Callithrix jacchus: one gene and its partners. The protein of the gene in region 2 purifies or fractionates together with the protein of the main gene of each other region. This does not show direct contact. Links are inferred from orthologs where the notes say so. Each region holds a gene or a part of one and is shown on either strand. Other genes may lie near its edges.

Region 1 (4,243 bases), on a different chromosome or scaffold from region 2:
GCCTGGCTCCAGTAGGCATTTGTGTTAGTTTTCCTTGACCTGACACACAGGGTGAGTTAAAATGGAATGTGCAAAGAAAAGGCAATATAGGTCAGGAAGAAATAACACAATTGTAATGTGAACCGTCCTATCTTTTTACATGTCAGCAACTAATTCAAGTTTTTAATCTATGAGCACAAAAAAGAACGTCCTTGTTTGCCGCTCTTTGCTTAGATGTTCTCTACTTGTATTCTTTCTGCTAATATGTTGCTACTTCTTGGAAGTTATCATACTTTTTATATGGCTTTGTTACTTTACAAGGCCTTTTTCATGATTATTTGATACTACAGTCTTATTCACACACCAGATGGAGAGGTTAACCTTGGCACTGCACTAGCAGCTAAACCAAGTATGCTAGCAGGGCCAACATATGTGTGTTTAGGGATGGGTAGGGGTTAGCATGGGTTTTTTTATTAATTTACGGATGCTCCTGACTTTAGACTCATAGAATGTTCATACTCCTAAGGGTAAAACCTTTCCTGTTTTGTTGAATCCTAAAATAAGATGCTAATTCAGTGCAGCGCTTCCAAATGAGTTATATTTGAACTAAAAAACTGTTGGTCTGCTTATTATATGGTTCTTTGAAATCTCAGTGAATATATCATCTTCATAACTGAAAGAGGACAGTTGTTTTAGATCCAAGGTGGAACCGAATTAAGTTGCATAAGGCAGCTACCAATATTTTTCAATGAAAATGGGAATAAATTGATGTGGCAAATGAGCTCACATTTTTTTGATTTTTCTCTCTCTATGTATGTCTCTGTCTTTGCCTTGTCAATTTGTGTTGTATTCTGCCAGGTCAAAATCTGTTAGGTTGATTAAAATAAGTGATTTGTGAATTTTAATCCTGATTGTGTGTGTGTGTGTTTATTTCTTTCTCCTCACATTAGAATTTGGTGGCTTTGGTTCTGTAACAGGAAAAATTGAATGTGAAATTAAAATCAATCATGAAGGAGAAGTAAACCGTGCTCGTTACATGCCGCAGAATCCTCACATCATTGCGACAAAAACACCATCTTCTGATGTGTTGGTTTTTGACTATACAAAGCACCCTGCTAAACCAGGTATGTGGTAAAGTCAGGCCATTGCTTGAGCAGTTTTCTTGATTCAAACTGGTAATGTTTTTAAGGTCAAAGTAGCATACTTTATAATGTTTAAAGATTTAAAAGTTGCTTTGGAGGGTCCCATAATCATCCTCAAGTTAAGGAATTTGCCAGAACTGCCTAAAAGCAGTTTATACTCAGAGCTAAAATTTATTACAGCAAAGGATTCAGAGCAAAAGTAGGAGGAAAAAGATACACATCAGGGGGAGTCCAAAGAGGTTAGCTACAGGTGTGTGGGTCCTTCCCATCTAGGGCCACATAGGACATGCTTTGTCTCTAGCAGCAAACCACAGGGACATTTGCTAAATGTTTCTATCGAGGGCAGCCCATTTAAGTTTCAGAATCGGGGGTTTTTGTGGAGGTCTGTTTGCGTGGGCGCATCCTGTTCTTTGACTAGCCATGATAACAAAAGTGAGGCCTCCAACAGTGAAGCCAAATGCATTGTGAATCTTGCTAAACAATTCTACAAGTCTTAACAAGTCCCTGTGACATACCCCACTGCTCTGGGCTTACACAACTTTATCAGTCAGTGACGCGAAGGACTTTCTGAGGGTCACATTCCCAGAGGTTGTCCAAGGGTCACTTATGAATCAGGATACCCTAGAGGCATGCAAGGAGTGAGCAACCAGACCTGCTGTATTAGAAATACTTCTAAAAATTGGGAGGTGGGGGATGGGTTACCACTTCCCAGATTTGTGGGATAGCTATAGTTTTCAGTGTTTTTGTGTTGAGGGTAGTAGGTTTTCCAAAGAAACCAATCATTTAATGGTTCTGAGGCTCAATTTGTGTTGGATATTAAAAACAAAGCCAAGAGAACAGCTTTTTAAAGTGGTTATGGGTCAGACCAGATCTTGTTCATGTGCAGTTGCTGTAATGGCTCACTCAATGAAGGAGTGAGAATTTATTCTCACAATTTCTGATAAACAGAGAATAACTTAATATTTTTCTTTTCTTAGACCCAAGTGGAGAATGTAATCCTGATCTCAGGTTAAGAGGTCACCAGAAGGAAGGCTATGGTCTCTCCTGGAATTCGAATCTGAGTGGACATCTCCTAAGTGCATCTGATGACCATGTGAGAAACGTATTCTTTGTAATCTGTTCATATAGTGGGAGCTAAAGTATCACAGCTGTACTGAAGGAATACTATATAGATGAAAGGCTTTCTAAGATAATACTGCTGATTATTGTGATAACATTTCCCTGGGACTTAGAGAGATGGTTTTCATACTGCCCTATATGAGTCTTCAGATTCCACAGAGCTCTTTTGAATTAGCCTTAGAACGGAGGGAGCATAGGCAAAAGGCCTTCCATTATTTAAAAGAGGACCCTCCAGGCCCTTATAATGGAAACTGTAGAGTGTTTGTGGGGCCTGATTGATATAAAGTATTTTTAATTGTACAATTCAGTGGCTTTTAGCATATTCACAAAGGTGCACAACTATTGCCACTAATTCTAGAATATTTTCATTCACTCTCGAAAAGAAATTCTATACCCATTAAGCAGTGACTCCCCACTCATTCCCTGCTATCCCCTAGCTCCTAAGCACTACTTTATTTTCCATCTCCATAGAGTTATCTATTCTTGATATTTCATGTAAATGGAATCACATATGCAGCCTTTCTGTTTGGCTTCTTTCACTTAGCATAATGTTTTTTTGTTGTTGTTTTTTTTTTTTTTTGAGACAGAGTTTCGCTCTTGTTACCCAGGCTGGAGTGCAATGGCACGATCTCGGCTCACCACAACCTCCGCCTCCTGGGTTCAGGCAATTCTCCTGCCTCAGCCTCCTGAGTAGCTGGGATTACAGGCACATGCCACCGTGCCCAGCTAATTTTTGTATTTTTAGTAGAGACGGGGTTTCACCATGTTGACCAGGATGGTTTCGATCTTTTGACCTCGTCATCCACCCGCCTTGGCCTCCCAAAGTGCTGGGAATACAGGCGTGGGCCACTGCGCCCAGCCAGCATAATGTTTTCAAGTAACATTTCTTATGTTCCATTCCTTTTTATGGCTTAACAATATTCCATTGTATGGATATACCACAGTTTACTTATTCATTTATCAGTCGAACCATTTGAGTTCTTTCTACTTTTGGGCTATTTTGAATTATGTTATGAACATTTGTGTACAAGTTTTCGTGTGGATGTATGTTTTCATTTCTCTTGGATACATACCTAGGAGTGGAATTACTGGGCCATATGGTATCTCTGTTTAACTTTTTGAACAACTATCAAACTGTTTTCCAAAGTGGCTTTCCATATTACATTTCCACAAGCAATGTACAAATGTTCCGGTTTCTCTACATCCTCACTAGTGCTTGTCTTTTTTTTTTATTATAGCTATCCTAGTGTGTGTAAAGTGGTATCTGCTGGGTTTCTTTGTTGTTGTTTTTTGGGGGGGGGTGGGGGAGGGGTTTTGTTTTGTTTTGAGACAGTCTGGCTGTGTTGCCCAGGAGCGCAGTGGCACAATCTCAGCTTACTGCAGCCTCCACCTTCTGGGTTCAAGTGATTCTCCTTCCTAAGCCTCCCAAGTAGCTGGGATTACAGGCATGTGCCACCAGGCCCAGCTAATTTTTGTATTTTTAATAGAGACAGGGTTTCACTATGTTGGCCATGTTGGTCTTGAACTGCTGGGCTCAAAAGATCCTCCTGCCTTGGCCTCCCAAAGTGCTGAGATTGACAGGCATGAGTCAGCACACATGGCTCATTGTGGTTTTAATTTGCATTTCCCTAATGACTAATGATGATGAGCATATATTCTTTTATTTATTGGCCATTTGCATATCTCCTTTGATGAAATATGTATTCAAATTCTTTGTCCATATTTTGTCTTTTTATTGTTGAGTTACAAGAGTTTCTTATGTATTCTAGGTATAAGTCCCTATGGTTTTCAGAAATTTTCTCCCATCCTGTGAGTTGTCTACCTTTTTTTTTTTTGAGGCAGGATCTTACTCTGTCACCCAGGCTGAAGTGTAGTGGCACATTCTTGCCTCATTGCAACCTCCGCCTCTCGGGCTCAAGTGGTTCTCTACTTCAGCCTCTCAAGTAGCTGAGACTACAGGTGTACAGTGAATTTTTGTGTTTTTTTTTTGTAGAGATGGAGTT
Region 2 (4,243 bases):
TATTTAAACTGTATGGTTATCTTATGTTGATATACCAGAGCTCCTCTTAGGTTAAAGATTGTCCAAGTACTTAACAAAGCTTGGACATGCAGGGCAGACAAGATTGTAGTTATTTGTTCTAAACAGTGTATATTGCAAGTTGTCAATCAGACTCTTGAGACTTGAGCAGGTTGTCTGCTCTGTTGATGGAGAGAGTCGACAGAGTCGACAGAGTCGACTCTCTATCGATTACTCCATCGACAGAGTAATCCTTTCTGAATTCTCTAAATGCAGGCTGCTACAAAAACAACTGAGGCAACAGTTGTGTACATAGTCTTTTCATTTGGACCTTTGTGCTGACTCCTACTAGGATTATTTGTGGTTTTGATAATCAGTCCTCTCTAAATACTGCCATTGCTTGTCATCTGCCTGGTGACAGATAGCAGTACTACTGGTTGGAATGAGGTCAAGGTTTATAGAAGGGAATTATCTCTTAGGATAAAACTTCAGAATAATTTTACTTGCTTCTTGGGGGTTTTAGAATGACTGTATTCTCTGCTGCGCACCCCACTCCCCCAAAAGTATTTACTATTGTTTATTGCCAGAAAGTATCTATAGCCTGGGCTGCAGATGACCTTAAATGCTCATTGAGTGTGATTGGCATGAGTTGTAATCAAATTGTTTTTTTATTATGGGAGAATCTTAGTCTGTTTTATAGGATTCCCATCGGTCTTATGATTGCCCAGTTTATTTTGTAGTTAAATTGCAGATTATAATCTTAGACGCTTTCTTTTTCTTTTTCTTTTTTTTGAGACAGAGTCTTGCTCTGTCACCAGGCGCCAGACTGGAGTGCAGTGGCAGGGTCTTGGTTCACCGCAACCTCCGCCTCCCGGGTTCAAGCAGTTCTCCTGCCTCAGCCTCCTGAGTAGCTGGGACTACAGGCGGGTGCCACCATGACCAGCTAATTTTTGTATTTTTTTTTTTAGTAGAGATGGGATTTCACCATGTTGGCCAGGATGATCTCAATCTCTTGACCTCATGATCTGCCCGCCTTGGCCTCCCAAAGTGCTGGGATTACAGGCATGAGCCACCGCGCCTGGCAGAAGCTTTCATTTTTATTTATCTATTTATCTCTCTACTTATGAAAACAATTAGAAACTTTTTACACTGTTGTTTGGGTGATGTTTGTACCTGTTTCATAAAGATGTTTACTGGATAAAATGAGATAATACATGAAAGCACTGCAAAAAATATACCGTCAAATTCTCGGCGTTGGTGAAAATATCATTGTTACTATCAAGCTAAACATTTGGTAGTTAATATTATCAACTAAACAGATCTTTTTTTCTAAGCATGACATTACTCCTACCATTTGAGATTTTTGTTTGTTTGTTTGTTTGTTGTTGTTTTGGAGATGGAGTCTTCCTCTGATGCCAGGCTGGAGTGCAGTGGTGTGATCTCGGCTCACTGCAATCTCTGCCTCCTGGGTTCAAGCGATTCCCCTGCCTCAGCCTCCTGAGTAGCTGGGACTATAGGTGCATGCCATCACACCTGGGTAATTTTTTGTATTTTAGTGGAGACAAGGTTTCACCATGTTCGCCAGGATGGTCTCCATCTCCTGACCTTGTGATCCACCTGTCTCAGCCTCCCAAAGTGCTTGGATTACAGCTGTGAGCCACTGCTCCCGGCCCCATTTGAGATTTTTTTGGCAAAACAAAATGGCCAGTTCAATGCAGAAAACTTTTGAATAAAGGCATTTTTTAGGAGACTCAAGCAGCAAACAAAGCTCAGCAAAGATTCTGCTAAATAGGAAAGAGGAGCTGCATCATGGCTTCATGGAATGAATTACATCCGATTTGATTTCAGGTAGAAGATGAGACGGTTTTGTGCAATATTCCCTACATGGGAGATGAAGTGAAAGAAGAAGATGAGACTTTTATTGAGGAGCTGATCAATAACTACGATGGGAAAGTCCATGGTGAAGAAGGTAGTGGTGCTGAACTCTGGGAGAAAATTTTGTTAGAATCAGGCCTCTTCTTTGGCATCTGATCATCTTGCCATTTTGCTTTTATCTTCTGCCACGTGGGGTACACACTAAAGAATATTTCAATGTCATCACATGTCTGGGTGTTAATTTTTTTATTTTTAGTTTTTTAGAGACAGGGTCTCATTTGGTCACCCAAGCTGGAATGCAGTGGCATAATCATAGCTTATTGTAGACTTGACCTTCTAGGCTTAAGTGACTTTCCTCCTTCAGCCTCCTGGGTGGCTAGGACTACAGGCATACTCCACCACACCTGGCCAAATTTTTTGTAGAAATGGAGTCTCACCACATTGCCCAGGCTGGTCTTAAACTCCTGGCCTCAAGCAATCTTCCCACGTTGGCCTCCCAAAGCCCTGGGATTACAGGTGTGAGCCACCAGCCTGGCCCAAAATACCCTAGTTATTTCCTTTTTTGCTTTTTGTTTTTTATTACCCTAGTTATTGCTGATTCAAGCAGCAGAAACAGAAATAAAAATTATTTAAAGTACCCTAGTTAAATTTTAAATGGAGTTGGGACATGAAAGGATTATATAGTAATCAGTGGCTGGAGAGGAAGTTTATTATATAAATAAGTTTAATCTTAGAACTTAGGAGTTTTCCATAAGTACATCCAAGACCATTTTGTTCTTTATTTCTCTTTCTCTGAGAATAGTAATGAGCCTCTCCGTCATACTTCTTTGATCCAGGTATCTCCTGGATCTCCCAGAAGTTGATTTTAATAATCTGAATTTCCTAAAAGCAAATTGTTTGGATTTAGTTGTAATTCTAGAAAAGTCTGTCCATGTCTAAGAAATGGAAGGAGGAGAGACTCCCCATCAATTTGTAAACTAACAGCCTCACCTGCTCTTCTGACAATTGTGAGGGCTGTTGTGATGCTGTTGAACTACATTATTTGTCCTCAGTGCCTCCTAGTGTTCAAAAACCTATATTGTAGTAGTTCTCCATAAAGTACAATTTTAGGAAAAAGTTCTGTCTTTTGATTTAGAGATGTCATTACTGACTCATCAGCTGCAAAGCCAATAGAATTTTCATTTTATTTTTTTTCTTTGTCCTACTGGAGATTGTGTAACACTTTTTTTTTTTGAGATGGAGTTTCACTCTTGTTACCCAGGCTGGAGTGCAATGGCACCATCTCAGCTCACTGCAACCTCCACCTCCTGGGTTCAAGCAATTCTCCTGCCTCAGCTTCCCAAGTAGCTGGGACTACAGGTGCGTGCCACCATGCCCAGCTAATTTTTTAATATTTTTAGTAGAGACAGGGTTTCACCATGTTGACCAGGATGGTCTCAATCTCTTGACCTCGTGATCCACCCGCTTCAGCCTTCCAAAGTGCTAGGATTATAGGCGTGAGCCACCACACACAGCCTGTTTGACACTTTGTGAGATTTTGAACCATAAATTCAGATTTGACTTGTGACTGAGAAAGTGAAGTTCTTCAGTAAGAATTAAGCCTATAACTGTATTCCTACTCTAGCCAGCTGAACTTGCATGTGTAGGAGCCAATCAAATGACTGTAATTTCCAGAAATCCCATATAAAAATGTACACCTGTTACTTATCTGGGCCTCTGGAGTGAGTACAAGAAAACCTGCCTAGGAGGACTCATGGAATGCAAAGTGATCACTGCTCATCCTTCTAATCCTTTTGTTTCAGAGATGATCCCTGGATCCGTCCTGATTAGTGATGCTGTTTTTCTGGAGTTGGTAGATGCCCTGAATCAGTACTCAGATGAGGAGGAGGAAGGGCACAATGATACCTCAGATGGAAAGCAGGATGACAGCAAAGAAGATCTGCCAGTAACAAGAAAGAGAAAGCGACATGCTATTGAAGGTACATAGCATGGGCTCCCTTATTCTGTTTTTAAAGTGATGGTGATAGGGAAGAAGGAAGAATGGAAAGGTTTGTTGCCTATTAAAGGCTGTCGGTCCTTTTTGTTGGTTTACTTAAAAGGAGACAATGATCATTAACTGATAGCTGCAGATAGCTGTGACTTAGGTGAAGAATAAACTAGAAGAACTGATAGAATAATCATTGTTATTCATTTCTAATTATATGTGTTATGTGAAATTGGGATCATGCCAATATATATATGTATATATTAAATTTTGTATACCTTTTTATTTACTCTTATGAACACTTTTCCATGTCACTAATGTTTAATTTAAAATTTAATAGTTTAATTATACTCTATGTTATTTAATTATACTATATGTCCAGGGACA
Region 3 (4,243 bases), on a different chromosome or scaffold from region 2:
TTACAGGAGTCTATGTGAGTAACACTCAGAAAGTACATCATGGAATGAATACGTCCTCCAAAGTGTCACTATAAAATTAGCTATCTTTACAACAGCTAAAATACACAAAGTTTCATTCAAAAAGACATAAAGCCCTTTCGGTAAGACTGCCTTTTAAAAGCTGGTTTTAAGCATTGCCACCACTTTTTAAATCACTCTAATGTACCTCATTTGGATAGAGGCACCATGGAGTTCAATCACATTCTGTAGACCTTAGGTAGACTATTTAACCTCTTGCCTCAGTTTTCCAATCTGTAAAGCAGAGACAGTAAAACCTACCTCACAGAGCAGCCGTGAGGATAAAGTATACAAAGCACCTAGCAAAGTGACTTAGCACACAGACAGAAATTCTGGTCTCTTCTCCTTCCCCCCATACCTTTATAAGCATAGTACACTAAAAAAACTCAAATCATAAAAGTACTAGAAATGTGAACACTCTAAGCTACATATAAAAAAACAAACAAATAATATTTGAATTGCTCTTTCAGAAAGTTTGGAGAAAGTGTAAGTTCAAAAAAAAAATCAAAACAGTTTTGGTATTTCAGACTCATGCAACGTATTAGGTCCACAAAAGTCTGTTACTATGTAAGAAATTACCTTGTTAAAAGGGCATTTATCTTCAAATTACTACTTAAGATAAATCTGGGATTAAACAAGCATATAAACTTTAGCAAAATACTATTTTCCTGGATTGTACAATTTTTAAACTTTTTGTGAGTCCACACACCAAAGGAAAAAAATGCCAGGAAGTAGTAAGATATGCTTGATATTAAAATTCGGTTCTGAAAACTAAGTCCTAATTTATCCAAATTTGGGGGAGAGAAAATTACAATTCAAAAAGTAAAACATAAAGGCAAGAATTAAATTACCTGTATATGTTTGGGTCCAAAAGCAAGGCAGTATCTTTGGGTAGCTTTGATAAATGAACTACTTTAGTTTTTAACTGATGTCGTTCACTTTCATTCACCCACACATCAGGCAGACTATGAATTAAAAAACAAGTCAACGGTAAGATAACATTCATTTTAGATTGACACTTCCTGTGCCTGCACATTCTGGCATTTTCTGTCCATATTAAGTGAACAAGTTTCCCGGAAGCCAAGTTTCCCGGAAGCTAGCAAATTTCTTTACTGAGAGAGAAATAAAAGGGTCTGGCATGTTGGCTCATGCCTATAATTCCAGCACTTTGGGAGGCCAAGGTGGGAAAGATCACTTGAGCCCAAGAATTCAAGCCTAGAATGGCCAACATGGTAAAAACCCATCTCTACTAAAAATACAAAAATTAGCTGGGCATGGTGGCACACAGCTGTAATCCCAGCTACCCCCGAGGCCAAGGCATCACTTGAACCCAGGAGGCAGAGGTTACAGTGAGCCAAGAGTGCACCACTGCACTCCAACATGGGCGGCAGAGCAAGACTGTCTCAAAAATAAATAAATAAATAGATAAAAACCCTGGAAGATTAAACTCCATTTAAAAAAAAAAAAGCATGTGGCTACAATACTAAATTCAAAAAAATTCAACTCTGTAAGAAAATTAAAATAAATGTATTTTGATATTTGGATTAATCAACTTTCAAAACATTAGAATACACACATCTAAATTTGATTTTTTTGGAACAGGGTCTCGCCCCGTCACCCAGTCTTGAGGGCAGCGATTCAATCACAACTCAATGCAGCTTCAACCTCCTGGGCTCAATCCATCTTCCCACCTCAGCCACCTGAGTATCTGGGACTACAGGCGACAACATCACAACCAGCTAATTTTTTTGTTTTTTGTTTTTTTTCCTGTAGAGACGAGGTCTCACTATGTTGCCCAGGCTGATCTCAAACTCCTGGCCTAAAAGCGATCCTCCTGCCTCAGCCACACAAAGCACTGGGATTGCCAGCATAAACCACTGTGCCCAGCTATTGGCCGCATATGTGAATTTGGTATGCATAATAAAATCTCTTTCAATTACATTTATTCAATTCTTGATACTTAAAAATTTTGTCCAAAATTTCTGTAAGATACCCTGATTTCCTTTTTATAAAATGAAAATTTTAATTAAAAAGATAAAAAGAAAATTAAACATGAAATATCTGAACTGAGAAACATCTAGGTCAAAAGTGCTATGAATAGGCACTAAAACTCAAAAAAATGTAATCACTGCTAGAAAACTAGTCAATTGCCTTTTTTTTTTTTGATGTACAGCAAAACCACAATCAGAAGAATTTTTTTTCTTTTGGTCAACTGCTTTTTCTATAAAATATCATTCATTGTATGCTAGAGAACATTTACAAATTTTTAAAATAAATGATTCAAACAAAGGCACAGTTATGGCTGCTTGTATACTGCTTGGAGGTCCCTAAAAATCCTAAAAATGATTAAAAATTTCTACGACTACTTCTTCCTGTGCCTCAGTCTCCCGAGTAGCTGGGATTACAGGTGCATGCCACCACACCCAGCTAATTTTTGCATTTTTAGTAGAGATGGGGTTACACCATGTTGGCCAGGCTGGTCTCAAACTGCTGACCTCAGTGATCCACCCGCCTTGGCCTCCCAAAGTGCTGGGATTACAGGTGGCAGCCACAGCTCCCAGCTTAAACAAAAAAACCTTAAGTTTCAAAGCCTGTAAGGTAAACCAGATAGTCTAAGACTTTTCAGATTATCTCTTTAATCCTGACAACCTCAAAATGTTTTACAATGTAATTTTTGTTTGAATTTAATAACAAATAATTTTTGTGCTTAGGATTTTAAAAAAATAAAACATAAACTTATTAAATGTTACACAGGGTATTTCAAATACTTACATATCTTCAGGCATCCAATGAAGCAAAAGTTTTATCTTCCCAGAATCTTCTTTTCTCTTAGCTATTACCTAATAATGAAATGAAAAAAAAAATCATAAAACAATTTGCAAAACATCATTTTCATGCATTGTTAAAAAAACACTTTTGGGGCTGGGCACAGTGGCTCACGCCTGTAATCCCCACACTTTGGGAGGCCAAGGTGAGTGAATCACAAGGTCAGGAGCTCGAGACCAGCCTGGCCAATGTGGTAAAACCCCATCTCTACTAAAAATACAAAAATTAGCCAGGCATAGTTGCAGGCTCGTGTAATCCCAGCTACTCTGAAGACTGAGGCAGGAGAATCACTTGAACTCAGAAGATGGAGGTTGCAGTGAGCCGAGACAGAGCCACTGCACTCCAGTCTGGGAGACAGGGTAAGACTTCATCTTATTAAAAAATAAAAAAGTGGCTCACACCTGTAATCCCAGCACTTTAGGAGGCCGAGGCGGGCAGATCACGAGGTCAAGAGATTGAAACCATTCTGGCCATGGTGAAACCCCGTCTCTACTAAAAATACAAAAATTAGCCGGGCATGGTGGCACGCGCCTGTGGTCCCAGCTACTCGGGAGGCTGAGGCAGAAGAATCGCTTGAACCCAGGCAGGGGTTGCAGTAAGCCGAGATTGTGCCACTGCACTCCAGCCTGGCGACAGAGTAAGACTCCATCTCAAAAATAAATAAATAAATAGATAGATATAAACGTAAATAAATAAATAAAGGGGGGCCAGGCACAGTGGCTCATGCCTGTAATCCCAGCAGCACTCTGGGAGGCTGAGGCAGGCGGATCACCTGAGGTCACCAGCCTGGCCAACATGGTGAAAACCCATCTCTTATGTTTAAAAAAAAAAAAAAATTATAAAATAAAAAAAACACTTGTAATCAAGAACTTAAGTGTTCATACCCTGGAAAAGATAGTACCGCCACTACATCGTGCTTTGTAGTTCTTCCCTGCTTTGTAGCACTCAAACCTCTCTGTCTTTCCCACAAGGCTGAAAAGCCCATGACATAGGTCTTTTCTTACTCTATGAACCCTTTGGGTCATACCACCTATAGCAGTGTTTAGTATAAAATCAATTAATTAACCGTTTGGAACTCCATTCTAAAAAAATAAACCTAGATTCAGTAAAAGCTCTGTGCTCAAGGATGTTTGTATTACAGGGAACACCGTTATCACTTCAGGCCTAAAAAGGGGAGAGCAAATATCCCAACACTGAGATCTAAGAACTGTACTTGTTAATACCTATTATCTCCAGCCACTGCCGTAACTTATCCGAGTTCAGGTCTCCTTTCTTCTGGACCTCCTCAAGTCATCAAAGCTATTTTCAATACCCAGAAGGCTTTTCCCAAAGTACAAATTCCGTAGTATCACTTTCCTGA
Region 4 (4,243 bases), on a different chromosome or scaffold from region 2:
CTGGGAACTAACAACTTGGACGTCCACTCAAGAGACCTAATCTGAAAGTTGGTAATTTCAAAGACGACAGGAGGATAAATTTACAATGATGGAAAGAAACCAGCGTAAAAAGGCTGAGAATACTCAAAATCAGAATGCCTCTCCCTCTAAAGATGATCACAGTTCCACATCAACAATGGAACAAGGCTTGATGGAGAATGAGCGCATCCCAATAACAGAATCACGCTTCAAAGAATGGATAATAAGAAACTTCTGTGAGTTAAAAGAACATGTTGTAGCCCAATGTAAAGAAACTAAGAACTTTGAAAAAAGGTTTGATGATATCCTATTGAGAATAGACAACTTAGAGAGGAACATAAATGAATTAATGGAACTGAAGAATACAATACAGGAACTCTGAGAAGTATGCACAGGTTTAAACACTCAAATTGTTCAAGCAGAAGAAAGGATATCAGAGGTCAAAGTCCAACTTAATGAAATAAAACAAGAAGACATGATTAGAGAAAAAAGGATAAAAAGGAATGAGCAAAGTCTGCAAGAAATGTGGGACTATGTGAAAAGACCAAATTTACATTTGATAGGTGTACCTGAATGCGATGGAGAGAATGAATCCAAGCTGGAAAATACCCTTCAGAATATTATTCACGAAAATTTTCCTAAACCAGCAAAGCAGGTCAATATTCAACCCTAGGTAATACAGAGACCACCACAAAGATATTCCTCAAGAGCAACCCCAAGGCACATAATCGTTAGATTCACCAAGGTGGAAACGAAGGAGAAAATACTAAGGGCAGCCAGAGAGAAAGTTCAGGTTACCCACAAAGGCAAGCCTATCAGACTTACAGCAGATCTCTCAGCAGACCAACTCTACAAGCCAGAAGAGAGTGGGGGCCAATATTCAATATCCTCAAAGAACAGAACCTTCAGCCCAGAATTTCATATCCAGCCGAACTAAGCTTCACAACTGAAGGAAAAATAAAATCTTTTACGAACAAGCAAGTACTCAGAGATTTTATTACCACCAGGCCTGCTTTACAAGAGCTTCTGAAAGAAGCATGACACACAGAAAGAAACAACCAGTATTAACCTTTCTAAAAATATACCAAAAAGTAAAGAGCACCAACATAAAGAAGAATTTACATCAACGAATGGAGAAAACAGCCAGTTAACATCAAATGGCAGTAACCCTAAATTTAAAACGACTAAATCCCCCAATCAAAAGGCACAGCCAAAACCTAACGGGATGTTACATCCAGACCTGTTTCACAGGCAAGGATACACAAAGACTCAAAACAAAGGGATGGAGAAAGATTTACCAACCAAATGGAGAGCAAAAATAAATTAATTAATAAATAAAAAGCAGGAGTTGCACAGATAAAATAGATTTTAAAACAACAAAGATATAGTGGTAAAAGGATCAATGCAACAACAAGAGCTAACAATCCTAACACCCAGATACATAGAGACTTAGATTCAATGAGACAGAAAATTAGTAAGGATATCAAGGACTTGAACTCAGATCCGGAACAAGTAAACTTAATAAATATTTATAGAGCTCTCCACTTCAAATACACAAAATATACATTCTTGTCAAAACCACATCACACCTACTCATAGGTTTAAATGAAACACTGATTGGCCATTATTAATACCCATTTTTTTTTTCAGAATAAAGCAATATTTCCATCCACCCTCCCTCTTTCTCTTCCTCTTTCTCCCTCTCGTTTACTCATTTTTTTCTTTCCTTCTCTCAATAAAAAATAAATTAATTAATTAAAAAATAAATCAACTTGTAAACCTCTAGATCCAGGTCGGCAATGTCTCTCATTGCCTGATTTCCTTCCCTCCCTTCCTGCCTTCCCCTACCCCCAAAAAAATCACACCTGGGAGTAAAATGAACACAGATGGTAGCTGTAATCATAAAACATATAAATGTAAATTGATTCAATGGCTTTCTCATCTCACCTCCCCCAAATAAATGATCCTTACCATTTGCCACACTTGCATGATATTATCTTCTGATACAGAACAAATCACCCAAGGCTCATTGGGATTCCAGGAGAAATCAGATATCTTGGCAGTGTGACCACCATGAATAAACTGTAAGGAAGAAAATAAAGATGTTAAATGCAGAGAGAGGACATTAAATTATAGACTTATTTCAGTACTGTTCGGTGCCTGTAACATACCAATAACTCTGGTGGCCCGTCTTCTGCATCTTCTGGGGATTGTTCTTCTCCAATTTTACTAGCACAAAAGCATAATTTAAAATTACCTTTGCAAAGTGTCAATAAAGGAAATAATTATATATACAGAGTAATGAATACATGAATTACCTTAAATCCCAGACATTCAGTCTGCGATCAGTACCACTGGAAGCCAAAATAGTCTCATTGTGAGGCGACCACTGAACCTACGCACAGGAATGAAAGAAACAGCAAAGCCATGAAAACAAAGGGGAAAAAAAAAAAAAAATCACAAAATATTTAACGATTTAAAAATGAAATAAAAACGAAGAGGAAGTCAAAGTATTATAGACACTACAGTTAAAATTAAAAGCCAAAGAATTTATTTTACGGGTGGGCACAGTGGCTCATGCCTGTAATCCTCGCACTTTGGGAGGCTGAGGTAGGTGAATCACCTAAGGTCAGGCGTCCAGGACCAGCCTGACCAACATGGTGAAACTCTGTCTCTACCAAAAATAAAAAAATTGGCTGGTTGTGGTGGCATGCACCAGTAATCCCAGTTACTCAGGAGGCTGAGGCAGGAGGACTGCTTCAACCTGACATCACACCACTGTACTCCACTGTACTCCAGCCTGAGCAGCAAGAGCAAACTCCATCTTAAAAAAAAAAAAAAAGAAAGAAAGAAAGGCAGGGGCAAGGGCGTGGGGACGACGACGTGGGTGGGAGGAGGGCCTCTTGGACATCAAAGACTACAATGTAATCTCTCACAATAACCTAGCAACAAGCTTTGAAGGTAGTGTAACAATTATTTTTTTACATTTTTGCAATCAGACCTTGGTGATGACCTTCAGCAGTAGGATAAACAACTCCCACATGCTTAGTGTTCCAATAATGTGGCATGCAATGAAGGATGAAGAATATATTGGAACAAGGGAAGAGACCACTAAGTGCCAGAAGCAAGGCTGAAAAAAATAATCAGGCACTAGTTTTTCTCTTTTTAAATTTTTATTAAAAAATATAGAGACAGGGGCCAGGCATGGTGGCTCACACCTGTAATCCCAGCACTTTGGGAGGCTGAGGCGGGTGGATCACAAGGTCAAGAGATCGAGACCAACCTGGCCAACATGGTGAAACCCCCCCATCTCTACTTAAATACAAAAATTAGTTGGGCATAGTGGCGTGCACCTATTAGTTGGGCATGGAGGCTAAGGCAGGAAAATTGCTTGAACCCAGGAGGCAAAGGCTGCAGTGAGCGGAGATCTAACCACTGCATTCCAACTTGGTGCCTGGCAAAAGAGTGAGACTCCATCTCAAAAAATAAATAAATAAATAACACACATATATATATATATATAGAGAGAGAGAGAGAGAGAGAGAGAGAGAGAGAGAGACAGACAGAGACAGAGACAGACAGACAGACAGACAGACAGACAGACAGACAGACAGGGTTTTGCCATGTTGGCCAGGCTGGTCTCAAACTCCTGGCCTCAAGTGATCTGCCCATCTCAGCCTCCTAAAGTGCTGGGATTATAGGCCTGAGCCACCAAACCTGGCCTAGTTTTCTTAGTACCTGTAGAATGTATGTGGTCAATAACCAGTATGAAAAAGTATAGAAATAACAAAGAAAAAACTTTCCCACAGAAAGTAGCATAGGCATACAGATTTCTATTTTTACCAACAGCATGTAGCACATGTGTGCCCATTACACATTCAGGTTTTTTTTTTTTAATTTTAAGACAGGGTTTCACCATGTTGGTCAGGCTGGTCTTGAACTCCCAACCTCAGGTGATCCGCCCACCTTGGCCTCCAAAGTGCTTGGATTAGGGGCATGAGCCACCGCGCCCAATTTAGGTTCTTAAAACAAAAAAAATTAGCAGCATTAGTTTCCTTTACCTGGAATATTTCATCCTTATGTGATTCAAAGGAATGCAACTTAAGTTTCAAATTTCTCAGATCCCACAAAGCAACGGTCTACAAAAAGAAAAGAGTAATCAATTTTTTAAAATAAGAAAATACTTTAAGTAAAATATCTCTGCAATTCAAAAGAAGCTGGAGAA
Region 5 (4,243 bases), on a different chromosome or scaffold from region 2:
GGGGCACTCATTTTGGTGTCTACCTCCATAAGGGGCCCAGTGCCCACCTGCCGTCAGAGGAAGAATTTACAGTTGTCAGCCAGAGACCACCCGTGACTCTGGGAGCTTGAGACCTGGAGTGAGTTGCCGAGTCTCAGACCCCATTAGGTCCTTCCTGTGGAGACTGATAACAGCTTCCTCATTGATGTTACCCCACACCTCTCTTCTCCACAACCAGCCCAGCCCAGTGTCCTGCCATTTAGTGGGAGTGGAATTCAGGCTTCTGTGCCCGCATCCTTGGTCTTGCTGATGTGCCAGGAACTCGTTCTCGTGCTATGTCTGCTGAGGCAGTTCAGACACTTCACCTGGTGGGCCCCGCTGTGCTTGGTGTCTGCAGGAACCCTGCCTGGATGGGATCTGTGCCCACTTTCCCTTTTATTATTTAAAAACAATATATCTCCACACTCCAAAGATGTAAAGCTTTCTTAATTTTTGCTTTGTTTAGCATTTTATGGATGATTATTTTGGAAGATTCCCCCCTCCCCTCTCCCTTATTGGCCCGAGAGAGGTTGCTTTTTCAGTTCCCATCTGGAGAACCCACTAGGTGTGCATTAAACCTGTTGAGGGTTAATATGCATTTGCGCTCCTCTGTGACCTGATCAGGAGGGGCCCTGAGCACCAGCTTACTCACTGAGGAGTAGCCTCATGGGCAAGGGACAAGGCTAAGGGACAGACAGACTGCCCTGTGCCCTCACGCAGTCGTTGCTCTTTGCTCCCGACATCCAGTCAGGTTGAAGATAGACTTCCTTTGTGTGAATGAGTGGGTGGGTGTTGGGGCTTTCAGAAGGGAACTTGGGAATTGCTAGGAAAGGTGTGTCTGTAATTTCCAACATCAGATATTCCAGGTTATGCTGGGAAGTGGATGCAGCTGGGACCCCTGCCCGCTCCTCATCTGGGATCTTCTCATGACCCCTGCCTCCATGTGAGAACGCATGCACTAGTGCGTTGGGATGTTTCTCTCCTTATGTCCGTCTGGCCAGCTCTATTCCTCTTCCAGCCAAGCCCCAGCTTTAATGCTGCCTCCTGAGACACTTGTCACCTAAGATGGTGGCCCCTTGTTCCACTCGATCTTCATCGCACATGGCCGTGACCCATCACTGTGTAATGCCTGTCTCTGTAGACCAGAAGCCTACCATTTCCATTGTCTCCCCAGAGGCTGCCAGTGTCCTGGCTCATAGGAGGAGTTCAGGAATTACAGGTTGAATGAGGAACATCTTGTTCGTGTCCCTTTCACTAACTATCCCGTTTTTCCCCCTTCACCGTCCCAGGGGGCTGCGAGCTCGACCTGGCCTGCTTTTTCCGGCTAATTAATGAGATGGGCGGCATGCAGCAAGTGACTGACCTCAAAAAATGGAACAAACTAGCAGACATGCTGCGCATCCCCAGAACTGCCCAGGACCGGCTGGCCAAACTACAGGAGGCCTACTGCCAGTACCTGCTCTCCTACGACTCCCTGTCCCCCGAGGAGCACCGGCGGCTGGAGAAGGAGGTGCTGATGGAGAAGGAGATCCTGGAGAAGCGCAAGGGGCCACTGGAAGGCCACACAGAGAACGACCACCACAAGTTCCACCCCCTGCCCCGCTTCGAGCCCAAGAATGGGCTCATCCATGGCGTGGCCCCCAGGAACGGCTTCCGCAGCAAGCTCAAAGAGGTGGGTCAGGCCCAGTTGAAGACCGGCCGGCGGCGACTCTTCGCTCAGGAAAAAGAAGTGGTCAAGGAGGAGGAGGAGGACAAAGGCGTCCTCAATGACTTCCACAAGTGCATATATAAGGTAGGGGCCTGTGTAGAGCAGCCAGCGCTGGCGGCAGGAGTGCAGGTGGCACGAGGAAACAGGGCGTGCTGTGTGCTGGACAGTGCACCCTCTGACTCCCTGGGGTGATGAGGGAGGGAGCGGGCCACTGTGCTGGATGAGGGCGTGGTTTTTTTGTTGTTTTTGTTTCTAAGACAGTCTTGCTCTGTGGCTCAGGCTGGAGTGCAGTGGTGCAGTCTTGGCTCACTGCAACCTCTGCCTCCTGGGTTCAAACAATTCTGCCTCAGCCTCCCGAGTAGCTGGGACCGCAGGTGCATGCCACCACACCCGGCTAATTTTTTTGTGTGTTTTTAGTAGAGATGGGGTTGCACCATGTTGGCCAGGATGGTCTTGATCTCTTGATCTCATGATCCGCCTGCCTTGGCCTCCCAAAGTGCTGGGATTACAGGTGTGAGTCACCTCTCCCGGCCAAGGGCGCTCTCTTAGTCCACTTCATGCTGCCGAAATAGCACAGACTGGGCAATTCGTAATGAACGGAAATGTATGGGCTCATGGTTGTGGAGCCTGGGAAGTCTGATATCCAGGAACCTGGTGAGGGCCTTCTGGGTGCATTGATGGAATGTTGGTGCAAGGTCGGGCAGTGAGAGACCCAGTAGGGAGGGGACGTCCACTCCACGAAGACACCACGAGTCCATTCCTGCGTGCCCAGGGCCTCAGGGTTCCTTTTCGTTAGCTGGCTTGTGTGTGCATGTTGCATGCACATGCACATGTCCTCATCTGCCAGGGATAAGTACCGGGGCTGCATGCTTCGCTTCCCCTGCGTCCCCAGTTCTTTTTGCACCTGTCTCATCCTGGTGCATGACAGCTGCCCAGACACAGCTGACCTCACTGGCTGGACCCTCAGTGGACTCTGCACGCTTGTTTTCTCTGCGTCCTCATTTCCATCCGCTCAGCTTACTGCCAGCCCAGCAGTGCCAGGTTCTTTCTGTGGACGGTCATCCCTGATAAAGCCATTCCAGTGGATCTTGCCATTCACACTCTGGAGGGAAGAGTAGGGGAGAAACAAGCTAACTGAAATACGCGTGTTTCCCCCTCCGCCAGTTCTCACCGCAGCACAGTCATCCTGAGGAAACTTACCTCCCGGAAGCAAGGGAAGCAGAGTCGCTGGCTCTCCTCCTGGCGCCCCTCCCAGCTGGCCTGGCAGTGAGGCCAGACTGGGGGCTTCTCCGGCATGCGAGTGGGTTGCGGGGCTCCCGGGGCCCAGCTGGACAAGCCCAGCTATGACCTGCAAGTTGAGGTCTCTGCTGAATTGCCCGACACAGACTTGCCCTCTGTGGTCCTAGTTCTGGATTCACTGGGAGGGAAGTGTTCTCTGCTTCCAGCCCTGGTGAGCCTGGCCAGAGTGTGTGGGCATTGGCTGTTGTTCATCCCAGAACCCCGCCACACCCTCAGGTGCCCACGGCTGCCTGACTGCAGGCTCTGGCCTAACCTTGTAGTTGAGGCAGTGTGGGCTTCTGAGACCATCACACGTCTTGGAAACGGAGGGATAGCTGACGCCACCACCTGCATCGCCGCTCCATTTTACGTCCAGGCCCCGCAGACTGCCTCAGGCTGCATCTCATACACTTGACGCTTCTCTGGAAAGAGGTTCCCCAGTCTTTCTGTCCTGAGACCCTGAGAGGGTTTGGCCTTTTATCTGAGTCTCGTTTCCTGTTTCCAAGGCTGCCTGGTGGGGGCATGTGGGGGTTGCAGGATGCTGCCTGCCAAGACCCAGCTGCCTTGTATTTGACTGGTCGGTGTTCTTAAGAAAAGAGAAAGTGTGACCCAGATACTGTAAGCTCTGGGGAACTTTTATTTGGTGTTTCCTGAACGTTTTAATGAGAAGCCTTTGTCAAGTAAAGCCACTCACTGAATCCTGTGACTCTGGATAGCCAACTGGTGAGATGAGATACTGTCAACGTTTTCACTTTTTACTGAAGGAGGCCAATTGTATGAGTGTTTGCTCCGAATAAGAGGTTTGGGTTTTTAAAAACATACCCTGTCAAGGATATTTCTAGATTTCATCACGGAAACATAGTGGACCTCTGCCTGGTGGCCGTGGCGAAGCCCCGAGGCAGCCGTGTGCCCATGCGGTGGGGACCCTGAGCGTGCAGCTGTCTGCGGCCCTGGTGTCCTGGCTGCTGACTTTTGTGTGCTGGCGTCATCCTCACTTCCACTCATTGTACTCTGCACTGGTGCAAAATTCAGTCCCTCCTTGTAGTTACCTTTGTTTGTTACAAGAAACAGTGTCGGCAGTGGCTTGGAATTGCATGAAGTATGTTCCTGTAGTTAGCACCCCATCTAGTCCCTTTGGAGCTAGAAAGAAAGGCCCAAGGTAGCATTGCCATGCTGACTGTTGACTGTGGACCTGACTGCTGGAAGCGTCTGCTGCTCCCTCTTCTGGCCCTGTCACTT
Region 6 (4,243 bases), on a different chromosome or scaffold from region 2:
GCCAGGCAGGAAGCTTGCCTCTTATTCTTGAACATGCTCCCAGGAAGATGGTGCCCACAGTGTGTCTCGGTAAGTCCTCATTGGCCTAATGAAGCAATGGATCAATAATTACAGTTGTGCTCAGCCTTATGCTCTCACCTCGGGAGATGCCAGCGGGTGCCCAGAAGGGGCAATTCTGGCTAGGAGTAAAGCTATTCTTCAGCTGATCACTGTGGTACCTCCATGGAGCCTGGCATGTGGTGGGCCTACATAGGTTAGCTAAGGTGAATGGGCTTCTCCATCCGCCTCTTTGTGCTTTCAATAAGGAGGTAAACCAGGAGAGAAGAGCCTCATTGCTTTGGATCTTTATACATTTCAGGATTTGGAGAAAAATCGGTCTCCACTGGTCACTGCTTCTTGGAGAAAGGGGCAATTTGAAAGCTTTACTAACCAGCTGGGTTCTGTGGCCTCTACGTGGCAGGCTTCTTGGAATCATCTCTTACAGTAACAAATTATTACTATTATCATTATTTGAGATGGAGTCTCACTCTGTTGCCCAGGCTGGAATGCAGTGGTGCGATCTCAGCTCACTACAACCTCCACCTCCTGGGTTCAAGAAATTCTCCTGCCTCAGCCTCCTGGGTAGCTGTATATTTAGTTGAGACAGGATTTAACCATGTTGGCCAGGCTGGTTTTGAACTCCTGACCTCAGGTGATTCACCCACCTCAGCCTCCCAAAGTGCTGCGATTACAGGCATAAGCCACCACACCTGGCTAGTAACAAATTCTTGATTAACAGCCTCTCTCTAACCAATAGCACTGAGCTAAGCATTTTACATGGATTAGCTCACTTAAGCCTCCCAACCACTCTATGAAGCCAGTACTTTCACTATCACCTTCCTTCACCTAAAGAAATTAAGACCCAGAGAGGTCGTATTACTTGCTCTGGCAAATGCAGCTAGTAAGTGGCAAAGCTGGAACTTGGTTCAAGGTCTACCTGACCCTAAAACCTGCTTCTTCCCCCACTAGGGGCCGTGCCTCTTCTCCTGTTAGAGTATAAATGGCAAATAGGTTTCTCCTCTCATGCCAACTCTGATTGACAGGTAGTAGCTGCTTCGGACTCCACGTTGAAAGCACATGTGCACATGTGTTGTCAATGACTCCTGATATCTATTGTGTGCATGGGAAGGGATAATGGTGGCAAACACGGCCCTGATTTGCCATCTCTGTAAGGAAGAGATGTCAGCTTTCTAAGGACAGGGATGGTACCCAACCCAGCTTCCTTTCAGCCCTGAAAGCTGGTCTAGCTCCATCCAGGCATGTTTGTCTTCACTCTGCCTGGCTCATCTCTGCTTTATTGGTTTTTCTCCCATTTGCCGCGAATTCCTTGCCCCGTGGAGACGGCTGCTTCCACTAGTTTTATTCCCATGTTAAATCAGGGACACTGTGCTTGCATCTAGAGCTGACAATTCTGATTACCTGGGCACATTCGCTTTCTAGCCTAGACTGGGACATTTAAATAAAACCAATTCTGGGACATTTAAATGGAAAGCAATTATTGGACTCAGAGCTTTGAGCAGCTGGTGATACAGTGCAGCCAGGAAGCAAACACAGGCCTGAGGCCCAGTCCTGGCCCTCCAAGAACCTCCCTGAGCTACCTTCTCCACCTGCCCAGCCTCCTTCCTGGTGTATGAACTCTCAAGGGGACGACTCATGTCCTAAGTACCTTGCCAAGTCAATGTACAACCAGATTTGATCATCACCTCAGGTGGGCTTGGGGTTCATGGACAAGGGCAGATGCCAGGAGTAAGAGATGGAAGGAAAGAAGGAAGAAATGAAGGCAGCAGAGAAAAGCTGGGGAGGTTGGGGGCTACTCGAAATTTTAAGAAAACTTACCATGCTGTATGTCCTTCCATAGGACCCAGTATTTGGAATTATCTTCGAAAGTCACGAGGCAGCTTTGCTTAGAGCTGCTGACCTGGGGCATGGATAGGAAGAAGCAAGTGAGAAAGGGCTAGGGAAAAGCCAACCTGGATTATAGTCTTCCTTCCCCATTTTTGTCTCCTTATGCTCCAGAAAGCAGAGCTAGAAGGGGAAGGATGATAGCAGTTCCTAGACATGGTAGGCTCCTAGCCAGTTACTGGCTGATGACAACTTGGTCAGAACGCTGAGGACCAAAGCACAATTCAGATGGTCCTCTGTGATCCTCTCGAACCTGACTTTTTGGTTTTGTAGGTTCTCAGAGCACTTTTCATTTTTTTTTTTTTTTTTTTTTTTTTGAGATGGAGTCTTGCTCTATTGCCAGGCTGGAGTGCAGTGGTGCGATTTTGGCTTACTGCAACCCCAACCTCCCAGGTTCAAGCAATTCTCCCACCTTGGCCTCCCGTGCACCTCTAAGCCCAGCTAATTTTTGTATTTTTAGTAGAGATGGGGTTTCACCGTGTTGGCCAGGATAGTCTCAATCTCTTGACCTCATGATCTGCCCACCTCAGCCTCCCAAAGTGCTGGGATTACACGCGTGAGCCACTGCGCCTGGCCTCCAAGTACTTTTCTAAAGAACTGGTTGGATGGTGCCTGCAAGACCAGGCTCTGGTCCCTCCCACCACCAGCTTTGGTCATGAGGGACAAGAAGGGAATTCCCTAGCAATCCCCCTGTCCGCCCCTAGTCTGAGAGCCAAGCTGGAACATGAGCAGAGAGATGCTGAGCCTGAGAACAGGCACCAGAGAGGATGGGTTTACCCTCTTGATCTTCCCGAGGTAGTACAGGCCATCTGTCCACCGGCACAGCACATACTGGCCCTCTGTCAGCTTGGACATTAGGTCTTTGAAGTTGTTCTTGACCTTCGCCAGGGCCCCCTTGTTGGGGAGGTGGCTGGTGGCACCATAGGAGTCCCGAGTCCCTGGATCCAGAGCTCGATTCTCCATCAGCTTCCCCTGACACTGGGAGAGAAAGAACAGAGTTTTCACTTCTTGCTTCCCTGCTTCAGAAAGCCCATCAGGGGAAGGAAGGAAATCAGCATTTCTGTATCCTGTGCTATAAGCCAGGCTTGTTTATTATCTCACTGGTTCCTCATGGCCATCCTATGAGGAAGATATTATTCACATCTTACAGACAGGGAAACTGAGGTATGGCAAGGAGAAGAGGCTGATGTGCCAAAGGCAGAGCCACGGCCCATACCACACTGTCTTTTAAAGTGAATAGATCTCTCAACCTACACAGAACAAAGTCCCCTACCCAGCGGGCTTGAACCATACTCCCTGTCTCAGGAGGCTGAGGTTTTATTCCTTAGGCAAACACACTCCATGTACTCTGGATGGAGGGTCTTATCCAGGGGAGCAGCTGGGTTTTTTTTCTTTCTTCTTTTTTAAACCCCAACCCCTGCAACCATCCCTTCCCTGCGATCTGTCCAGAGAAAACTCACCTAGAAAGGAAAACTCCTGGGTGGCTTGTAACTAGTGTAGAGGGGTCATCTGTCTTTTGTAATCCCCCTTCTGTTGTCAATTACGAGATGATTTAATGGAAACCAATTCTGGGACATTTAAACTCACTTATGCTTTCACCTAGATATACATTTGCTCCAAGCAGTGAAGTCATCTCCATGCCAACCTCTCCACACCTGTCTCTCACCATCCTTTTCAGCAGCATGCAGTTTGCCCATGGATTCCTCTCTCCCTGCTAGTGGCATTGCCTCCATGCATCTCAAACTCCTCCAAGCAATGAGCTGCCGTAGTCTGCCCATTTTAAGTGCCATGACTTCTGGCTTTCCGGTTCTAGCTTCCATCCTCCCATGCTGGTCTGAGTTCAGGCCTCATCTTTTGCTTGGGTCATTCATTCATTCACTCATTCACTCAATAACAGTTTCCTGGGCCTTGTGTTCACCTCCACTAGGCACCTGGGTTGGGGAACGGGTACTACCAGCACCCAGTGCTATATAGGCTGCTCCTGCATTCCTGCCTTTCCACCAGACTCTTCCTCAGGGCCACCAATCTCCTTCCAGAAACCTTCTGGGGCTCTCCACTGCCCTCACCGGTGCTCAAAGCCATCCCTAACGCTCCCTTCCCCGCTGGACTCACCTGGCTCCATGCCCCTCCACACACTCTCCACTACAGAGTCACAGCCTGGCTCTTTCCCTGCGCGCCTACTCGGGTCTCCTCCCTGTGGCCACGGCGCTGGGCACCTGGTATTATGACTGTCCACAGGGAGAGGGTCCAGTGCTTGTTTTTGTGTGGTGCGTGTGTGTACTCCTGTAAGACTGGGTGGGAT
Region 7 (4,719 bases), on a different chromosome or scaffold from region 2:
CTGTCCCAAACCTGCTTATCACTTACTTCACAACCCCCTGAGTGCTACCCTCACTGTTCTTTCTCCTTCATTTCCTGGGGTCCACCCCGCCATCATTCATTGCACAGTCTGCTCCCCCTCATTACTCACTCCCCAGGGCCACCACAGTAACAGTAGCTCTGCTGTCGATTGCTCAGATGTCCAGCATCCCAGTCCAGCCCCTTCAGTCCATATGGCAGAGAGAGCTTCATACCCAGCATGGCCCGGGCATAGGGGCCCTTCTTCAGGGCACCGCCCCTCTGCAGAGATAGAACAGGTGGGTGGCCTCAGCGGGGTGGGGAGAGGAAAGGCTTGTGAAAGGCTGTGGATGGGAGGCTCCCACAGGAAGGGGTAACAGGGAGGTGCCTTTACCTTGGTGGCGATTGCAAAGACACATTGGCGGCACACCCAGGATGTGCCCTCTCCTTCTCCAGGGGCTGGAGCCCTGGGAACATGGCAGTCCTGGTGATAAGCTGAAGAATGATAATAATAGACCACTTATTGCATACCTGTGTGTGCTGGGTATTGGGACTGGAATAGTCTTTACTCATCTCATTTAATCCTTGACCATGGTCTTGATGAGGGAGTGCATTTTCCTTATTTTACAAGTCAAGGAACTGAGGCTCCCAGAGATTTAGGGACTTGCTCAAGGTCATACGGTTAGGAAAGGATGCATTTAAATCATCCTCTACCTGCAAAGGTTACACCAACCCTTTCTATGGCTGCTTTTCCCTGGGCTTACAGGGGATGAGGACTAAGGGCTAAGCAGCCTGGCCAGAACAGTGGCTTGGGGACTAAGGCCAGGACAGGTGACATAGGGACTGTGCTGGAGGGAAGAGCAAGCTGGACCATTCAGGTGACCTGCCCTCTTACCATGGCGACACTTCTCACAGCTGACCAGCCGGTTCCCAGGGACCACAGTCTCAGAGCGACAGACACAACAGAGGAGTTCCTCCCCAGGGAGGGCAGCTATGAGAGAACACAGTGTCAGGGGCCTGCCCTTAAGTCTCTTTCTTCTCCTATAAGCCAGGTTTGTTTTCCATGTGATGTGCAATCTCAGGTCTCTAGAGTCTTACCAGGGCTAATGTCTTTCCATAGAACCAGAAACTGTGAATCATCCTCAAACTGGACCAGACACACCTCCCTAGCACTGTCCACCTGCAATGGGTGAGCATAGAGAATGAAATGGGAACCAGACTTAGATAAGGGGAATAGGAAGAAGGTCAGAGGTAGAAGGTCTTACCTTTTTGATGGTGCCCAAGTATAGCAGCCCATCAGTCCATCTGGCCAGCACATCTTGACCCTCCCAAAGTCGAGGTCTGGGGCCAGAGGTGGGAGCAGGGGAAGCTGGGTCCCAAAGTGAGGAGGCACCAGAACGGCTCAGCCGGGGGGGCTGCGCCATTGCATCCTGGGGGGGGCTAGCCGGAAAAGAAATGGGGAAGAGGTTATGAATGCTGAGAAAACTTCCCCATTTTCTTTTTTTTTTTTTTTTTTTCCCTGAGATGGAGTCTTGCTCTGTCACCAGGCGTGCAGTGGTGTGAAATGGAGTCTTGCTCTGTCGCCCAGGAGTGCAATGGTGTGATCTCTACTCACTGCAACCTCTACCTCAGTTCAAGCAATTCTCCTGCCTCAGACTCCCAAGCAGGTGGGATTACAAGTGCACACTACCACACCCGGCTAATTTTTGTATTTTTAGTAGACATGGGGTTTCACCACATTGGCCAGGCTGGTCTCGAATTCCTGACCTTGTGATCCACCCACCTCGGCCTTCCGAAGTGCTGGGATTAAAGGCATGAGCCACCGCGCCCAGCCAGCTTCCCCATTTTATTTGCCTATTTTGCCGTCAAAAATGAAGGATCTGTGCCCCCAACTCCCAATCCTGACACACCTGGATAGGAAAACACTGGGCACCCATCACCAGCTTCTTGAGTACTCTTCCAACTCTAGTGACTGGCTCTACTCTCGGTAACTGCCCTCCCCCCGACCCAAACCTAGTTCTCTAGTTTCACAGCTTCCAGAGCTCTCCTGGGATATTATATCCTGGCCTTTAAATTTTAGGGGAAATTACGTTTGCAGAAGCAAAGGCTACCCCTCAGTTTAGAGGTACCATAATTAGGGTGCCCTGTTGCCCAGAAATGTATTTTGGGACCTTTTCTAGAGATGTTTTCCAGGGCAGAAACGGCTGTCTCCCCAGGCCTGCGTGTCTCATTAAGAACAATCATCCTGGTGCCAGGTTATGTCAGGTCACCCTCAAATTCGGGGCTCCCTGCCCTCGGGTTAGACAACTTCTCTGAGTGCCCCGGGAGGGGGGCGTGTCCGAGTCCCGGTCTCTACTCCCCAGGACTGCAAGTCCGAGAAGGGACTTGCGTCGGCCCAACCAGGACCCCGCGGCCAGGACGACGAGGCTCTCCCGCCCGCGCCCCGCGCCGACCCCCGGCTCCCTGCCCCCCACCGGCGCCTCCTTACCGGTGACAGCTGGGGCCGCCGGGAGCTGGGCAGGGGCAGACGTAGTAGACCTAGGCGAGTCCCCCGCGCGGAGAGGGCACGTCCGGGCGTCGGGGGGCGTGCAGGCGGAGGCCGGGGGGTCCCCAGGCCCAGCCCCTCCGTCCCGGCGGCTCTGGGGCGTATGACGCAGCAGCCAAAGCAGCGGCAGCGGCAGGAGGAGGAGGCGGCGGGGGGGAAGGAGGGGAGGGACGGACCGGTTGGGGGGGAGGGTGGTGGGAGGGGAGGACTGGGGGGAAGGAGGAGCCGGAGGGGGGCCGGGCACCACCTCACCCCACCTCCCTCACCTCCAACAGGCCTGGAGGGCGCCGAGCAAGAGGCTGGCCCTCCGCGGTTTGGGGAGCGAAGAGTCGGACCCAGTGGGAGAGGGAATCCCCTCAGCCCCTTCCTCAGACCTGAGATTCGCCCTTGGGGCAGGAGGGAATCCCCCCTCGCGGCAGCCCGCCTCCGGACTGGTCCCCCGCCCCGTGCCACATCCGTTAGCTGCCCCACCCCCCATGGTCACGCCGAGTCCCGCCCCCCGCCCCCAGTTCGCGGCCCCGCCCTCCATTCACCCTTCCCGTTGCCCCCACCACGCCCTCCCTCGCGCGCCCCGCCCTCCACTCGCTGTTAGCCCCAGCCCCGCCCTCCCCGTGGCTAGTCGCGCCCCACCCGCCGCCCTTTTGCGCACGCGTGTCCCCTCCTGCGCGCGGCACCTGGGAGGACTGAGCCCCTCCTTCACGGGCGGCGGCCGTCGACCGTTGGCGCGAGGAAGTCGGCGGTCGTGCGCGCCGCTTCCCGGGCACGTCCCGCCCCGTACTTCCAGGGCGGGCGCAAAGACTAAGGGGGCTAGTACCCGAGGCGGTGACGCCACCGAGAGCCAGCCAATGGGCAGCGGGCGGGCAGAGCCCCAGCGGTTCGAACAGAAAGGCAAGGAAAGGGCGGGAGGAAAGAGCCAGCAGTTCGGGAGCGCGCGCCGGCCCCACCTCGGGACTCCGAGGTCCGGTCCCTATTTGCGGACACCCACCAAAGGACCGTTCCCTCCCTGGGGATGAGGTGGCGGGCGGAAGGGTGAAACTTAATCTGTAACTAGTTACGTTGGAAGGGGCGTGGATAGCTAGAGGGCACACCTCCCGATGTGACGGACAGGGAACGGGGCATTAGCAGAGGGGAAGATGATCCAGACCAGGGTCCAGAACTGGTGACAGGTGAAGGGAGAAAAGCCCAAGCCCTCAACCCCCGCTCCCGCCTCCCACACAAACACTTTGCAGAAGGGACAGATCACAGGTCCCACCTTTACAGATATGAAAGTATCTGCCTCCTTGGGCAAATGCTAATGAAAACCTTTATTTAAAAAAAAAAAAAGTATTCTTTATTTGATAGCCCTGGGACATGGCGCCCTCCACCCAATAAAGCACCCTTCAGTAACCCTCCCACCCCTCACCCAACACATACACCCCCAACACACAAGATCTGGATCCGTCTTCACTTCCTGTTGGCTTGGGCAGTACCAATAACACACTGGTTCACCTGGGTGTAGGGGGTGAGACAGGATAAAAAAGTTTGCAAAATAACCAAAAGAACAGTTTTCTTAAGATCTCCTCCCATCCTCCAATGCTAGGGGCTGCCCTCAGGAATACTGAAATAAGGCCTCCAAAGGCTGGTTCAGGCTGATTTCAGTTATGGTTGGTTCTCCTTTCCACACTAGGTTTGGAGGAGGTGAAAAGGCCTGAGAGATGGAAGCCCCACAACAAAATACAGGAGCGGAGAGAGGAGGCTTTCATTTCCAGCAATACTCTCTACTAGAGACCTCCAACCTCTTCCACTGTAAAATCCTTAAACTGAGATAAAATAGTAATAGCAACGAGCACCCATTTAGGAATTAGCACTCCTTAGAAAAGTGGATCAGTTGAAGTCTGGAGGAGGAAATGTACAAGTTGAATCTGAAAAAAGACTACTAGGGTTGTGTCTAAAGGACACTGGCGCCAACCTGAAGGAGGTTCCTAATGGCCAAATATGGGGCAATTTGAGCATCAGAAAGAATGACTGTGGTCGGGCTCGGTGGCTCACGCCTGTAATCCCAACACCTTTGGAGGCTACAATGAACTTTGATTGAGCCACTGAATTCCAGCCTGGGCAACAGACCAAAACCCTGTCTAAAAAAAAAAAAAAAAGTAACGCTCAGATAGACCTTCATTGGTCACCTTTGGAAGCTGTTAG

What was found.
Region 1: the proteins of EZH1 (region 2) and RBBP7 purify together in Homo sapiens (affinity purification with mass spectrometry; 4 studies listed by BioGRID and IntAct, with this or other methods). This does not show direct contact. The link is inferred for Callithrix jacchus from reciprocal best matches to the Homo sapiens genes EZH1 and RBBP7.
Region 3: the proteins of EZH1 (region 2) and AEBP2 purify together in Homo sapiens (affinity purification with mass spectrometry; 3 studies listed by BioGRID and IntAct, with this or other methods). This does not show direct contact. The link is inferred for Callithrix jacchus from reciprocal best matches to the Homo sapiens genes EZH1 and AEBP2.
Region 4: the proteins of EZH1 (region 2) and RBBP4 purify together in Homo sapiens (affinity purification with mass spectrometry; 4 studies listed by BioGRID and IntAct, with this or other methods). This does not show direct contact. The link is inferred for Callithrix jacchus from reciprocal best matches to the Homo sapiens genes EZH1 and RBBP4.
Region 5: the proteins of EZH1 (region 2) and JARID2 purify together in Homo sapiens (affinity purification with mass spectrometry; 4 studies listed by BioGRID and IntAct, with this or other methods). This does not show direct contact. The link is inferred for Callithrix jacchus from reciprocal best matches to the Homo sapiens genes EZH1 and JARID2.
Region 6: the proteins of EZH1 (region 2) and PHF19 purify together in Homo sapiens (affinity purification with mass spectrometry; 4 studies listed by BioGRID and IntAct, counting the BioPlex papers as one, with this or other methods). This does not show direct contact. The link is inferred for Callithrix jacchus from reciprocal best matches to the Homo sapiens genes EZH1 and PHF19.
Region 7: the proteins of EZH1 (region 2) and PHF1 purify together in Homo sapiens (affinity purification with mass spectrometry; 5 studies listed by BioGRID and IntAct, with this or other methods). This does not show direct contact. The link is inferred for Callithrix jacchus from reciprocal best matches to the Homo sapiens genes EZH1 and PHF1.

Annotation. Positions count from the first base shown.
Region 1 is NC_133524.1:17,115,355-17,119,597, reverse strand, and holds part of RBBP7 (histone-binding protein RBBP7), read left to right. Parts: intron 1-929; coding exon 930-1,103; intron 1,104-2,098; coding exon 2,099-2,214; intron 2,215-4,243. UniProt on the Homo sapiens protein: Core histone-binding subunit that may target chromatin remodeling factors, histone acetyltransferases and histone deacetylases to their histone substrates in a manner that is regulated by nucleosomal DNA.
Region 2 is NC_133506.1:121,168,841-121,173,083, forward strand, and holds part of EZH1 (histone-lysine N-methyltransferase EZH1), read left to right. Parts: intron 1-1,845; coding exon 1,846-1,966; intron 1,967-3,674; coding exon 3,675-3,851; intron 3,852-4,243.
Region 3 is NC_133510.1:3,958,828-3,963,070, forward strand, and holds part of AEBP2 (zinc finger protein AEBP2), read right to left. Parts: intron 2,898-4,243; coding exon 2,830-2,897; intron 1,023-2,829; coding exon 909-1,022; intron 1-908. UniProt on the Homo sapiens protein: Acts as an accessory subunit for the core Polycomb repressive complex 2 (PRC2), which mediates histone H3K27 (H3K27me3) trimethylation on chromatin leading to transcriptional repression of the affected target gene.
Region 4 is NC_133508.1:69,259,192-69,263,434, reverse strand, and holds part of RBBP4 (histone-binding protein RBBP4), read right to left. Parts: intron 4,158-4,243; coding exon 4,080-4,157; intron 2,414-4,079; coding exon 2,337-2,413; intron 2,248-2,336; coding exon 2,190-2,247; intron 2,101-2,189; coding exon 1,990-2,100; intron 1-1,989. UniProt on the Homo sapiens protein: Core histone-binding subunit that may target chromatin assembly factors, chromatin remodeling factors and histone deacetylases to their histone substrates in a manner that is regulated by nucleosomal DNA.
Region 5 is NC_133505.1:15,226,118-15,230,360, reverse strand, and holds part of JARID2 (protein Jumonji), read left to right. Parts: intron 1-1,307; coding exon 1,308-1,810; intron 1,811-4,243.
Region 6 is NC_133502.1:169,276,782-169,281,024, forward strand, and holds part of PHF19 (PHD finger protein 19), read right to left. Parts: intron 2,920-4,243; coding exon 2,719-2,919; intron 1,958-2,718; coding exon 1,876-1,957; intron 1-1,875.
Region 7 is NC_133505.1:41,643,265-41,647,983, reverse strand, and holds the start of PHF1 (PHD finger protein 1), read right to left. Parts: upstream 3,018-4,719; 5' UTR 2,485-3,017; intron 1,437-2,484; 5' UTR 1,421-1,436; coding exon 1,262-1,420; intron 1,177-1,261; coding exon 1,095-1,176; intron 988-1,094; coding exon 892-987; intron 492-891; coding exon 391-491; intron 279-390; coding exon 130-278; intron 1-129. Other genes in the region: uncharacterized protein LOC128931737, read left to right, coding at 3,018-3,499, 4,208-4,232; kinesin-like protein KIFC1, read right to left, coding at 3,985-4,029. UniProt on the Homo sapiens protein: Polycomb group (PcG) that specifically binds histone H3 trimethylated at 'Lys-36' (H3K36me3) and recruits the PRC2 complex. Involved in DNA damage response and is recruited at double-strand breaks (DSBs).